Linked DNA regions of Mytilus edulis. The main gene of each other region encodes a partner of the protein of the gene in region 2 in a complex. Links are inferred from orthologs where the notes say so. Each region holds a gene or a part of one and is shown on either strand. Other genes may lie near its edges.

The links.
Region 1: the proteins of mRNA export factor GLE1-like (region 2) and nucleoporin NUP42-like are in contact, whole or in part, in a crystal structure (PDB 6B4I), measured with the Homo sapiens proteins. The link is inferred for Mytilus edulis from reciprocal best matches to the Homo sapiens genes GLE1 and NUP42. Residues at the interface, in NP_001003722.1 of Homo sapiens: Ile385, Ile593, Leu598, Asn599, Trp602, Arg603, Ala606, Gln607, Leu609, Asn610, Gln636, Tyr637, Gln638, Val639, Gln640, Lys643, Met644, Ile646, Leu647, Glu650, Asp651, Tyr652; in NP_001357375.1 of Homo sapiens: Asp185, Asn186, Val187, Leu188, Phe189, Gln202, Phe203, Gln204, Ser205, Lys206, Lys207, Phe208, Leu210, Gly211, Lys212, Ile213, Pro214, Leu215, Lys216, Pro217, Pro218, Leu222, Leu223, Asn224, Val225.

Annotation. Positions count from the first base shown.
Region 1 is NC_092355.1:51,273,487-51,281,373, forward strand, and holds the start of nucleoporin NUP42-like, read right to left. Parts: upstream 3,062-7,887; 5' UTR 2,970-3,061; coding exon 2,885-2,969; intron 300-2,884; coding exon 122-299; intron 1-121.
Region 2 is NC_092349.1:81,811,597-81,819,186, reverse strand, and holds the start of mRNA export factor GLE1-like, read left to right. Parts: upstream 1-4,585; 5' UTR 4,586-4,646; coding exon of another isoform or gene 4,647-4,650; intron 4,651-7,590. UniProt on the Homo sapiens protein: Required for the export of mRNAs containing poly(A) tails from the nucleus into the cytoplasm. May be involved in the terminal step of the mRNA transport through the nuclear pore complex (NPC).

The DNA.
Region 1 (7,887 bases), on a different chromosome or scaffold from region 2:
ATATAGTCCCTACACAAGAAAAGCAGCAATTTTATTAACCCACACCAAATTTTAGGGGCCATCAGCGATTTCAAACCTTGTACAATGTTGTATAGGACCATAAAGTAATGTACAGTCTTACATAACATCATTAGTAGACATCTGTTGTGTTGCCTGAGGTTGTCCCTGCCTTTGGCTGTAGTCAGAGGCCTGCCATTTGTACTGGTTCGGGTTTTGTTGAGATCTCCCTCCTCCTCCTCCCCCTCCTCTACCACCTCCCCCTCCTCCAAATAACTGTCTCTGTGCAGAGTAAGCATATCCTGAAATATATCTATATTGTAGCCATGGCCGTGGTACATTATATGTACATGTACTACTGTATATATTCAGAAGTAACTGCATAAATTTATTATTGAGTCCTTTATATACCACATTTTCATGGAAACTTCCAACTTAGACAAAGATGTTAATTTGAAAACAAAATTAACATTGTTGACACTTCCTGTGCTTGCATCATCAACTTGGTAACTCACACTATGCACCGTTCTTCACGTGAAAAGTGTAAAATTCTCAAGTGTTTTAAACATGTTAAATAGTTTAAAATATACATGATATAGGTTGGAATATGAAAGAATATTTTTTTATTATTATTTTTTTAACAAAAAGAATAAATAAAAGAAAAGGGGGGGGGGGGGCGGCAGTTTGGCGACAGTATTCAATTTCAAAATAACTTTAATAAGTATCTACGATTTCAAAAAAATTTATATTTTTATAGAATAGATATTGAACGCATTTTGATGTAAGCATTGAGTTAAATACGGGCAAAGGTGGAATCGGAGGAGGGTATCTGTGAAATAAGTTAAAAATGATCAGTAGCGTAGTCCGAGATTACTCTGACGTCCAACGGCTGTTTTACAAGACGAGCTGGGACTGTGGGAGGTCAGAGCTTGTCCCATATTAGAAAGTGGATATTTGCCCACCCAAAATAGATGTGCTGCTTTGTGGCTTCTGGTGTTGACTGACCGCCTTGGAATTATATAAATCGGGCGTCAATCTGTTCATTTTTCATTTATCTCTTCATTTATGTAAGTTTCACCTACCTGCCAACCTTTACTTTCTCATAATTAGACAGTTTTCACAGTGACCGATGGATTTCTGCATATTGCCTTTCATTTTCAAAGATTATCACGTGACCACGAGAAAACAGTGATGATTATCGAAATGACCATAATGTATACATGTACCTCGTCCATTTACGATGCAAGTTATCTAAATTTCTGAGACCTTCCGATTGTTATCGTGGTCGGAACTAAAATGCTTAATGCCGATCTCCTGTAAAGGAGGTGAAAAATCGTGGTTGGCTACTTAATGTTAAACATTGATCTATAAAGGAGGTGAAAAAATATAAATATTTGCATAATTGAGTCTCAACATGCTCAAGGCCATGAACTCTCTCGTAAATTGACGTCCATTTGAAACTGATAGTCAAAATGCAGAAATCGATGGGTCTCTTTGAAATCTGTTAAAATGTGGAAAAAAAGGTTGGCAGGTAGGTGAAACTAACATAAATGAAGAGATAAATTTGAAAAATAAACAGATTGATGCCCGATTTATATAATTCCACGGCCGTCAGTCGGCACCAGAAGTGACGAAGCAGCGCATCTATTTTGGGTGGGCAAATATCCACTTTTTGATATGGGGCGAGCTCTGACATCCCACCGTCCCAGCTTCATTGAGCTTGTCTGGCAAAACTGCCGTTGGACGTCAGAGTAATCTCGGACTATCAGTAGTGGATCCAGAACTTTTCATAAAGGGTTGGAGGAGGGCGGGCTGACTGACCTAAGGGGGAGGGGCCGCTCCAGTCATGCTTCAGTGATTCCGTATATAATCAACCAAAATTTTGTTATGAAAAAGGGGAGGGGCTGGATCTGCATACAATGTATGACAATAATAGGGCATCAGTTTTGGAAAATTTAGGTCTGTCACGTCTCAAAAGCCAGGTAGAACGTCTTGTGTCTGTGATTAGTTTATATCATATTTGGTTGTATATGTCGGACTATCAGATCGTCGGACTATAGAACTGTCGGACTATTAAGGTTCATGTGGACCCTATGGCTAAAATGGCCGTATTTTCACCTCAAAATTTACTCTGAGTACAGACAAACCTGCGCATCTGTAAAAAATTTCAGGCATAGCATGCCCCAGATAAAATAATTTCAAATATGTTTTATGTTTTAGAAAAATAAAAACTTACCAGGATTTTGCCGTGCACTTTTTTTCATTCCTCCAGAAGGTGCCAAAATAAACTAAGTTGGGAAACAGGTTTGAGAACTTCCCCACAGGTAAAAATTGAAGTGAGCGTTATTGATTGACATGGACATTAGATGGACAATAGATACATGACAATAATTGGTTATTTAAACTGTGTACCTGAGTGGACCATATCAAGGTAAACTCAACTGTTTGTTAATTTTATCATCTTCTGCAGGGACGAAAAAAAGTGTACGGCAAAATCCAGTTAAGTTATGAATTTTCTAAATCATACAATGCATTTGAATTTTATTTATCTAGGGCATGCTATGCCTTAAAACGTTTCCAGATGCACAGGTTTGCCTGTACTCATAGTAAATTTTGAGGTGAAAATATGGCCATTTTAGCCATAGGGTCCACATGAACCTTAAACTGTCGGACTATTGATCCATCAGACTAATATTGAACTGTCGGACTGTCTAGCAGACCCCATCCCTATCCATTGGAATGTCTACTATCAAAGTATTGATGCATGAATATGTATTGACACAAGTGCCTGTGTTAACTATTCTGTTTTATACTTCAATTACTGGCAAAAAAATATATTCATCTGTTCATGAAGATTATCTGAAAAATAAAAATACACAAAATGTACCTGCATTTCCCCCAACTGGGTGCTCAAATCTACAGCTGCTTCCATATTTACAATGGCCCTGAACAAAAAATTTGCAAATAGCCATGAGTGTCAATAAAAAATCGCTACGGTAAATATATAAAAAGCTATTTTCGCTTTTTGAATTTGTCCATTTTCCATCGGAAGTAGTAAATGGATTATAAATACACGCACGGACCGGTAACCCGGAGAATTCAGGTCTCACTAATTAGGGACAAGAAGAATATTAGCGACAAGAAGAAAATATAAGGGACAAGGAGAAAATACTAGCGACTGAAAGTTTATTTACTATGATATTCAAACAATAGATGTACAGAAAATAAATCATCTGATTAAAATAATTTTACGGATCCATTAAAAAAAGAGCAAAATGGTAATTACAAATTACATTTCTTCGGTTTTTTTTTCGAAAATATTTTTACTGAAATGGCGGTTTAAACATCAACAGTTATTCAAAAACTTTAAATCATCCTGTAAACAATGGAAAGCAGTTTGCAAAGATAGTAGTTTTTCGTAAAGATGGGAAAATTAGTCTTACTGAGACATGGATTTATAATAGTAAACCATTAGATATTGTAAATCACTTGTTATCTGGGTGTGTTATTTCATTATAGTTGTAAATTCTATATTACTCAAAACCACTGTGCTGAACAAGACAGGAAAGCTACGTTTAGTAAAGGAAAAGGGCACCATCCTTACACTTGAACACTGTCACTTCTATAAGTTTATTTGACACTTATGTATGTAGTATTTTAATGTATGGTTGTGAAGTTTGGGGTGTTCATAGAGCACCAAATGTAATGACTTCTAATGTGAAGGTATAGTATGCATTAGGAAGATGTCTATTGTTATATGAGCGAAATTTTAGGATGCTCAAATTATGGACTAAAATTAACGGTAGTGAAAATTGTATTATAAAGTCATGTTACAAAGAACTAGTAGCAAATAGAAATAAATGCAAAAACCGGGCAACTTGTTTTAAAATAATTTTATATGATCTTGGTATGAATAATTATTGGGACAACCAATGGGTACTTTGTTCATGTTGTTTGGATAGTTCATTTTTACAATTAACCAAACAACGGATCAACAAGAGTGGCATTTTACGCTTGAAACATCACCAAAGTTTAGAATATATAAGTATATCGTGTCAAATGTAGAATTATAATTTTATTTACAAAAATGTATTCCTGTAATAGCTCGTAAATTGATAACGAAAATTCGCCTGTCCTTACACAATTTATGTATTGAAACTGGTCGTTTTATAGAATAAGTAAAAACAGTAGAATGTGTATTATATGTGATATGTAAATGTAGAAGAGGATGAATTTCATTTTATTTTGCAATGTACAAATTATAGTGATATACGTAAGAAGTTTATCAAGAAATATCATTGGACTAGATCGTCAACTTATAAATTAGTACATTTACTTTCTTTTGAAAACACTAAGGAACTTTGTAGGAGTTTATAGGAAATGACAATGAGAGGCCTTCAACACGGAACCAAAAGTCTTACCTCACTGCAAATTTAAGACGACCTCCTAGCACCGCGGTTTGCGCGGTATTCTTTGCAAAAATAATTTGGATAGACTTTGTGAGACTAAACACTACCCAAATGGGCTCGGTAAAAAAAAAGAACATACGTGGAAAGAAGTACATATATAAAACAAAATAGTTCCTACTCGCACATAGTTGTAAATCTTAAACAATGTAGCATATATATGTGAAATTAAGATATCGAATGAAAGGTGAAGGACTGGTGATTCTTGTAGAACACATAATTTACTGTTATTGTTAATAATACGAAAACTATGAATGTATTCTAAAGATGCGGGCATACATACAGAAAAGAAGATGTGGTATCTATGATTGCAAATGAGACAACTCTCTACAAGAGACCTAATGACACAGAAATTAACAATTATAGGTCACCGTACGGCATGCAACAATGAGCAAAGCCCATACCACATAGTTAGCTAAAAAAGGCACCGAAATGACAATGTAAAACAAGTCAAACGAGAACACTAACTGTTTAATTTATGTACAAAAATGAACGAACAACAAACATGTAACACATCAACAAACGACAATCACTGAATTATAGGCTCGATCCTGACTTGGGACAGGCACATACATACACTAAGAATATGGCGGGGTTAAACATATCCGCCTGTTTCCCAGATATGACGTGCCTGGTTTGGTGTATCTTAAGTCCGGTTACCATTGCAGTACGGACTGATGTATAACTTTATGGAGATTGATCCCGCTTCCATTAAATGTTTTATAGTGAAATATGAAAGAGGATCAAGTGGGTGGTGGTTTGAGTCTTATTCACATTTTAGTGTTCAACCTGTCCTTACATTGAGGAAAATGAATTGGCATACATGTATAAGACAAGTTATCTAAAGAATAAATACACCATAACTCTGAAATTACAGAAGAGCACACATACATATCAAGCACGTGGCAACTTTCTACGGTCCTCACACAGAACGAGAAACACACTATCAATATAATAGAAAAACATATTTTGGACAGATTTTATGAGATTTAACACCCCCTTATCGGGCCCGGTAGAAAACCCCCATACTAGGTGGAAAGAAGTACATATTGAAAACAAAATAGTTTCTATGCATAATTGTGAATCTTAAACAAAGTAGCATCTATTATAGAAATTAGAAGGTATCAAATGAAAGGTGAAAAAACAACAAAACATAATAAAAACAACACAAAAAGTAAAGCAATGGAATAGCGCTTTTGTTGCTGTTCTTCATCTCTAAATCACAATGAGTCCTTCAACACGGAGCTACAAAAACTCTTCGACGTCTGTATTAGTTTTTGAACTTTTAAACATATTCGGCTTTTATATCATATATAGAGATACATCAATTGGTAAAATGCACTTCTGTATGCTGTGGTAGAATTACTACTGCAAATGTTATAAATTCCTTTCAGACCTTTTAATTCCTTTTTTTTAATTAACGACGTTTGATATCTGTGAATATATCCAAACAAAAAAAGAGGAAAAGATATCAAAGAAAAATTCGAACTCATAAGTCGAAACAAACTGATATCGCCATGCCTAGAAAACGAAGAATAAAAAACAAAAACACAAAATAGAAAAACATATTAGATGTTTTAAAGTATGTATTGAAAGATCGTTCAACGATTACTTATTGTGTTGCATAACATTTTGTTATATAACCTATTTGGACGGAAAACGTGACTTCTGTTTGGTACCAAATAAACATTGTAATTAGTCAACATGATTGAATTATCTTTCTTGCACTAATATTTTAGAAATTGTAAAATGATTGACTAATAAAACGCGGATTTATTTCCATTTTAAAGAAAGCCACACGTAAATAAAGTTTAACAGCAAAGTAATTTGAACTGATATCTACAACTAGACCGTTCGTTATTAAAAGTTATATACGAAACAATACAACGATTTGCAGTTTTCACCCAAATACTTCCTTTCTCCTCCATAACCATAGTGCTAAACGCAGTATCTAAAATTCAAGGAATCTGCCTTCCTCATTTAGATAAACATTTGCAATATATAGTTTTTTTATAAGTATGACACGACATCAAACAAACCTAGAAAATCGCCATTAAACGTGTGACATGACATCAAACAAACCTAGAACATCGCCATTAAACGTGTGACATGACATCAAACAAACCTAGAAAATCGCCATTAAACGTGTGACATTACATCAAACAAACCTAGAACATCGCCATTAAACGTGTGACATGACATCAAACAAACCTAGAAAATCGCCATTAAACGTGTGACATGACATCAAACAAACCTAGAAAATCGCCATTAAACGTGTGACATGACATCAAACAAACCTAGAAAATCGCCATTAAACGTGTGACATGACATCAAACAAACCTAGAAAATCGCCATTAAACGTATGACACGATATCAAACAAACATAGAAAATCGCCATTAAACGTGGGACATGACATCAAACAAACCTAGAAAATCGCCATTAAACGTGTGACAATATTACATTAAACAAACCTAGAAAATCGCCATTAAACGTATGACACGATATCAAACAAACCTAGAAAATCGCCATTAAACGTATGACACGATATCAAACAAACCTAGAAAATCGCCATTAAACGTGTGACATGACATCAAACAAACCTAGAAAATCGCCATTAAACGTGTGACATTACATCAAACAAACCTAGAAAATCGCCATTAAACGTGGGACATGACATCAAACAAACCTAGAAAATCGCCATTAAACAGATGACACGATATCAAACAAACCTAGAAAATCGCCATTAAACGTGGGACATGACATCAAACAAACCTAGACAATCACCATTAAACGTATGACATGACATCAAACAAACCTAGAAAATCGCCATTAAACGTATGACATGACATCAAACAAACCTAGAAAATCGCCATTAAACGTGTGACATGACATCAAACAAACCTAGAAAATCGCCATTAAACGTGTGACATTACATCAAACAAACATAGAAAATCGCCATTAAACGTGTGACATGACATCAAACAAACCTAGAAAATCGCCATTAAACGTATGACACGATATCAAACGAACCTAGAAAATGCACATTAAACGTGTGAAATGACATCAAACAAACCTAGTAAACATCATTAAACAGATGACAAGATATCAAACAATAGAAAATCCCCGAAAGTTGACCGGGGGATAGACATATGATAATTTAGGCTTTCTGTCGACCGACAGTAAGATTCTTGCAGAAAATTGGGAGTCCGTTTGGCTGTGCGGGATGTAAAGTTCGCAGCCACATCTGCACAAATGAAGACATCAAATATCTAACCACTTCAGAAAAAATGACAAAAAACGAAAATATTGTCAAACTATCGGTATAAATTTGTAAATATCTGGCAAGGAATTATTCAAAAATGACTAGAAATACACTGTTTGCTAAAATCTTACATTAACTTCCCAAATGTAATGTTGAGAATG
Region 2 (7,590 bases):
CTTGGTTTATTATAATCGAAAAAGACATTTCTGGTTGTATTTTCTATTCTCATAAATACGTATTTCAGTAACGTTACGAACACAAGTCTACAACTCATAATTCGGGATGGTAGTCAATGCAGGACCTAAATTTGTAGCCGGGACCATGATTACCCATTTTAGGTAATTTAAACATTCGGAAGTGGGTTACACTAATAACTGGACCGAATGACAGGACCGAATGACAGGACCAAATGAAAAATGCTAATAACTTTTTCGTTTCTCAAAGGATTGATCTCAAAGGACTAGGGGCTATAAGGGCCATTTTTGGCCCCACCCCCAAATTCCATTTAATTTGTCATGTTGTAAGTCTATACCATAGACCTTCTGAAAATAATCGAATTTTGGGTCTAGCTCGTTTATTCTGTTGCCTAGCACTCACTAAAATGGCGGAGTTAAACTCATCAAATATGATTATTATACAGCTTAAATATATCTATATTTGAAATTGAACCTGTTTAGCATGTAGTGAACTTTACACTTGTACACTATTTAAATATTACATAATTAATTGCACATTTTTGCCAATTCACTGTTGTTTCTCCCTAGCAACATAGCTGTGCCCATGGCAACCGCAATTTTTTTTCTATTTACAAGATTTAATTTTAAATATATTGAAACAGAAAGGCAATTTAAAATGTAAATTTTAAGAAGAACACTCCAAGGTAAATATTACGGGGGAAAGCAATATTGAAACACCAACAAACAAAACAAAACACCGGGTATTGCTGATATATACAGATTGTGCATCTGATGCTGGGTGGGGTCCCACTTATCAGCGACAAGAAGAATAATATAAAGACACGACACATTTAGCGCTTAGAAATCTTAATATTGATTATCTTAAATAAATAGATACAGACACATGCATTAAAGGGTGTTTTCAAAAGTCAGTGTATTTCCATGATCATGACAGTAGTTATGTTTCCGGAAGGGGTTGGGGTTGAAGGGGGGCACTTCTATTTACACCTTTTTAAGCTTGAATAAGTGAAAAGTTGAGAAAACTATCAGATATATATGATATAACTTTTTTCCTACGCAATTTATGAAAAGGTATATATTTTTAAAATGTAAAACTGGGTAAGGTGACAAAACAACGGCACCCCCTATCAATTAAGTATTGAAGTGCACCCCTCCAAACCCCACCCCCTTTAGACTTATGTAAAGGATCGTTAAGGTTGACTTTTCCAAATTTATCTTATTTTTATTATCTATTTCAGTCGTCAAGACTTATAACCGTATCATTCTATAGAATTACAAAACTGGAACATGCTACTATATCAAATTAATCTGTATTCTTAGATTTTTTCTATATTCATTATATATATATATATATAAATATATTATTTGTTTTATTGTAGTTTTTGTCAATGTGACTAGTTTACTCAGTTTTGCCTTCACTAATCTTAGCGTCGTATGACTTGGTCTTTGATCATCATGACAATATTCATTATATATTCGTCAAAATCATTGAAAACAAGAATGTGTCTTTAGTACATGGATGCCTAAATCGCAAGCCTAACAATGGCCAGGAAATCCTAAGTTAGGACAGGCCCAAAAAATCAGCAGATTTAAGCATGTTATTTTTGCGATCTCAAACCCCCTCCCCTTTTACCTCTAGGCAAAGTAGAAAAAAAATCAAACACACAATACACACAGTAAAATTTACTTCAAAAAAAGTTTGAGTCTGATGTCAGATTCAACTACCTTGACCAAACACTTAAACCTGAAGCGAGACACAGGGACAATCGGACGAACAGACTGAAATACGCACATACGAACAGACGCATACACCAGAAAACATAATGCCCACAAATGGGGCTTAACAACAAAGCCGGGTCACATTTTAAAATTTACACTGCATTTTTACGCATGATTATAAAACTATTCAAAACATAACCTTTAAAAAGGTAACAGACATGTGGTATGCTTACAGACTTTAGACTCTTGTTTCTATGCATGGAAAGGTCAATTATCCATATATACTGAACGGCATTAGAAACGCAACACTCATTTTGTTAATTTTTCTTACCAAATCTTGTTTGATTTTCTTACAACTACTTTGCATGCTTATCATACTTCTTTCTCCGTGTTAAAAATCAAAATCTAACTTACCTGTGGTTATTGAGCATACCGAGTTTTTGAAGTCGCACGAATTTCTTAAAGCGAAATTTTGGACCCATGAAAGATTGTTTCAGTTGTTTTGCTTTGTGAAACAGTTCTTTCAATCCTTTGCCTCACTTAAACCAGTTTAAAAATGTTGCATCTCTATTTTGCCAAGACTGAGAAACAAAAAACTGAATAGCACCTTAAGAATACTGCAAACATTAAAACATAAACGTGCTGCAACCACACTGAATGGCTACAGAAACTTGTCTTACTGTCCTTCCGACAACGATACAAGTAGACAAGATGTGTTGCTGGCCATCAATGAACAGATAAACGTTTAGAGACAATGAAACGTCAACAGAATTTGATTACGCAACGTCATTTGCCAAACATGTTAACGGCCGCAACGTCAACTGCTAATCAAATTACCGAGTGCCATTGAGTATAGATTCATGCCATAAATGTTTCCCATCAACTGAATTGCCAAAGAATCAACTGAAGGAAAACCTTAAATGCCCTCAAGTTCCAACCGCATAATTGCCAAAACCAATTAATGGGTTGAACAAATGCAAAACCAGAAGGTGTAAAACAGAACCCAAAACATGTCGGACAGAATTTGTTGACCTTTCTAACAATTATTTTGGCGTTTGCAACATGCAGTCATTGCTTTTGACCGTGACACATTCATTCAAAAATAACACAAAAATAATTTAGTGTTGCGTTTCTAAAGTCGGTCAGTATATATATATACATTTGCAAATTTACAGATCTTACATTGTTGGGTTGATGTTTAGACGAGTTGTATATACATGATGTACATAGCCATGTATCAGCATCACTGCTGGTGATCCAATGAATAAATCTGTTGTAGAGTTGTCACAGGCTCAGGCATACTTATATAATAATATATACATGTTTATACAGATATATGGAAAGTCTACCTTATGCCGTTTCAAATTTTATAGAACTTGTTCTCTTCTATGCACATTACCCACAAAGACACATCCAATGTAGGTAGTTTCATTTTCGAAATAAATCTTGTGTTTCTCGCCCCCCCCCCCCCCCCCCCCCCCACTTTTCGTTACATAAATCATGGATCTGACCCTAATACCAGAGAGAGAAGATTTCCCCATTCAAACAACAAATTTTGAATTTATAATTAGCAAAAACATCAGAAATGTACAGATTTTGTTATATTGAAGGTCTATCTAAAATTTCATAATTAAAAAAATTGTCCTCAAAGTTGGTATTGACTCCCTTGCACATGAAGTTTATAGCTGTCAGATTTTTTAAAGAAATCTAACTAGATAAACTAACGGAAAGATAATTAGGAATACACTTTACATTCATAAACAAAAAAAAAAGTTTCTATAGGTATAAGAATGCATAAACTAAACTTTGTCAGATGAAAAGGTCCAAGTTGGACGGCAAATTTCAGCTTTTTATTGCTCCGCTTGGCTATGAAAAATATAAAATAAACTATCGCACCAACCTTGCACCAAAAAGATTTTTTATCCGAAGTTTGATATGTATGAACTTGTCAAAATGTTAAAATTTCTAATTGGTGCAAGCATGGTGCGGTGGTCAAAATTTAGAAAAACCATCAAATTTTCGGTATTTTTGCTTATTTTCCCAATTATGACGTCATTTGCACCTACCATTGTGACATCATTGAACCTTTTTTAGTTAAATAAAAACATTTTTTTTAAATCATTTACTCATATTCTAATAATTTATGGAGAAAAATCTGCTCTGTTAGAATTTTTATAATCTTGTAAATCTGGGGCCATTTTAGGCCATTAAAGCCCCTACTCCTTTGAAATATAATAAGATTTTATCATTTGATAAATAGATTTAAGAAAAAAAATAAAAAGTTTTGTAAGAAACTTTAGAAAACGTGACATGACCAACTCTGATAATGACAGGACCAACATCGAGAATGACAGGACCAAATAAAAATTCTAATAACTTTTTTATTTTTCAAAGGAATTATCTCAGATTTGAAATATAAAATGGTATGTCATATTTTGAAACCTAAATGTTATAAAAAATATAGATTTATTTTCGAAAACTTTCGAAAACGTGACATGACCATCGCTGACTGACAGGACCAACAACGACAATGACCGGACCAGATGAAATTGCTCATTTCTCTTTTATTTCTCAAAATATTTTTCTGAAATTTGAAATATAATAAGATTTCATCATTTGATAAATAGATTTAAGAAAAAAAATTAAAAAAATATGTAAGAAACTTTAGAAAACGTGACATGACCAACTTTGATAATGACAGGACCAACTTCGACAATAACAGGACCAAATAAAAATGCTATGATAGAGATCAATCCTTTGAGAAACGAAAAAGTTATTAGCATTTTTCATTTGGTCCTGTCATTCGGTCCTGTCATTCGGTCCAGTCATTAGTGTAACCCTTCATAAATACTCATCATGATGTTTGATTACTAGCAAATTTAATTCAAATTTAAATATTCGATCAGATGGGGAAGGTCTAAAACGCGGAAGTGGAAAACGCGGAAGTGAAAAATAGGTGTATTATAACTAATATCTCTGGAACCGCTTTAGCTAAATCGACAAATAAAACTGATTCTGAAAGCTATTATAATAGGCTATAAGATAAAATTAAAAACATATTTATTTAAATATGCTTTGTTACCGAAAAGTTGACCGGAAGTCTTTCTTAGTGTGACTCTGGCAACACATTTTTGTACATTAAAACTTAAATTGACGAAAAAGCATATAACCCGGTCAAAGTCTGTAAATTGATTCTTGTAGACATTTAAATGACAAATAATATGATATAAAGAAAAAAATAAATATATTACTATAAAAGGGCAAAAAGTTGACCGGAAGTCACCCTTGTACACAAATGTTGAAGTAAAATTTTCAACTTTGAATTAAAATTCACAAAAATATAAAAAGCCCGGTCAAATTCTGTCAATTGATTCTTAAAGATATTTAAATGACAAATAATATGATATAAAGAAAAAAATAAATATATTACTATAAAAGGGCAAAAAGTTGACCGGAAGTCACCCTTGTACACAAATGTTGAAGTAAAATTTTCAACTTTGAATTAAAATTCACAAAAATATGAAAAGCCCGGTCAAATTCTGTCAATTGATTCTTAAAGACATTTAAATGACAAATAATATGATATAAAGAAAAAAATAAATATATTACTATAAAAGGGCAAAAAGTTGACCGGAAGTCACCCTTGTATACAAATATTGAAGTGAAATTTTCAACTTTGAATTAAAATTCCCAAAAATATAAAAAGCCCGGTCAAAATCGAGAACAAGATTCGAAAAGACAATTTAATAACAAATGATTTGATATAAATAACAATAAAAATATATCAAACTAAAATTGCAAAAACTTGACCTGTTGCCTAGCTTGTGTTTTAATCTTGACCCCCCTTTTATGGAAAAAAAATAATGACTAAAACTAGATATAAAATACTTGCTATTTTTATTTCATTTAATCACATTTCAATAGTATATAATTTCTGATATTTCATGTGTTCCATTTAGACATTAACAACCCTCCTCCTTTTTCACCCGGGTTTGGGACCGGCGTTGGCGGAGTTATTGTTTTTTTTTCTTTCTTATTTTGCTTTATTATTTATTGATGCACTACACTCAGTGGCTTTAATTTATCTATTTATTATCTCTTTTATGTAGGAAAAATAATGTTCAAATTAATTTCAAGAATAGGTATTGTTAACATTTTTAAAATTTATTTAAAATTTATCAAAACTGTAAATTGCTATATAATTTAAGTTAAACTATCTATATGTACTTCGCAGAACCAGCTGTTTCCTTTCATATTTTTTAAGCACAAGACCGATGTGTCCAGACATCACACATTTTACGCCCTGTTTTTCCTTCACAACCTACCATATCCTCTATTGTATCAGGTTTTCCACAGTGACAGTTTGTTGAGATAATGTGGGTTTTAGTTTTTAAATTTTTAGGAGTTTTACCGAAATATTTTTTTGGAAAATGTGTGAATTTACCATTTTCAAGACCATGAATTAAATGTTCTCTCATATATTTTTGCTCGTATGTGATATGAGTACCTCCTTTAAACCCAGTTTGACAAAATTCAAGAGCATTTGCAATTGCAAAAAGTCCACAATCTATGCTGTTTTGTTGTTTTTGGTATTCTTATTATTAATTTTTTCTTGTCTTTACCGTAGATTTGCGTTAACTGATATTCTAATGAAGTTGTTAAATTTAATGATAAGCTGTCTAGAAGATATATGTTTCCATCTCTAGTTTGAAGAGACAAAACCCAATGAGCATTACCATTATGGTGTATTTGTACACTTGGTGACTCTTGTGATTGAAAACCCGGTACGTCTAAACACTGCTAAGGACTCCTTAGTGCACTAAGGACTATACAATGCCACTAAGGACTAGAAGGACTACTGTTATACGTGTTATATTTAGATGTTATGTTAGAGATTGATATTTAATGACTAAATTTCAAATTTTATAGAAAAATAATCATATATAAAAAAGATATTCAACATTTTCTAGACACGTGCCCATTTTTCTTTGATATACCGAAAATCAATGAACCGATTGACACGTGCCAAATAATATAACAACTGATCAAACAATCATATTCTTTAATTTAAGTAATTAACAATTGTATCGAAAAGATTAATACTTGATTATCATTATAAAATGTGTTGTTCTTGTTTAAAATGATTAAAAGGACAAATAATTTTGCTTTTGTTTTATTTATTTCCCGACAAAGTTACATTTTTGTGTTGTATTTGCCATAGGTTTTATCTTTGATGTGCGCCAACTAATAAGTAAGAGTGTGGTCAGCTTGGTAAAATGTTTATGTGAGAGACATGAAGACAAAATGAATAAATATATTTATAACTTTTTTGTTTTTATTTTAATTCCGTCAAAGATGCGTGTATATACAAATGGCTTCACTAAAACTTGAGTAAATTCCAATAAACTATAAATCATGATTTTTATTTTTCCACTGTCTATTACTGCTATATACATCATATACGTAATAGTACGAATAACGATTGAATTGAAAAAAAAAATCATTTATGGACAAATAACAATTGTGAATCAATAAATCATGTGTTCAAAACGGCGATAAACTGGAAACCAAAAAGCATACCAGAACTTGTGAAAATTCTCCACGAACTAGTCAAGCTGGAATTTGCCGACTTAAGACGAGCACTGTACAGCCAAGGCAATTACCTGCTGTTTGGATACTATAAGCGCCACCAATTATTGTATCAATGCTGGCTTACAAAATCAGCTGATCAAAAAGATCGTCTTTTTCATAAACTTATGAAAGACAGTGACAAGTCCAGATTGACTGCAGAAAAAGAAAAAACTGTGACAAGTACTCTGTATGACTTTACCATGCCATTACCCCCAAACC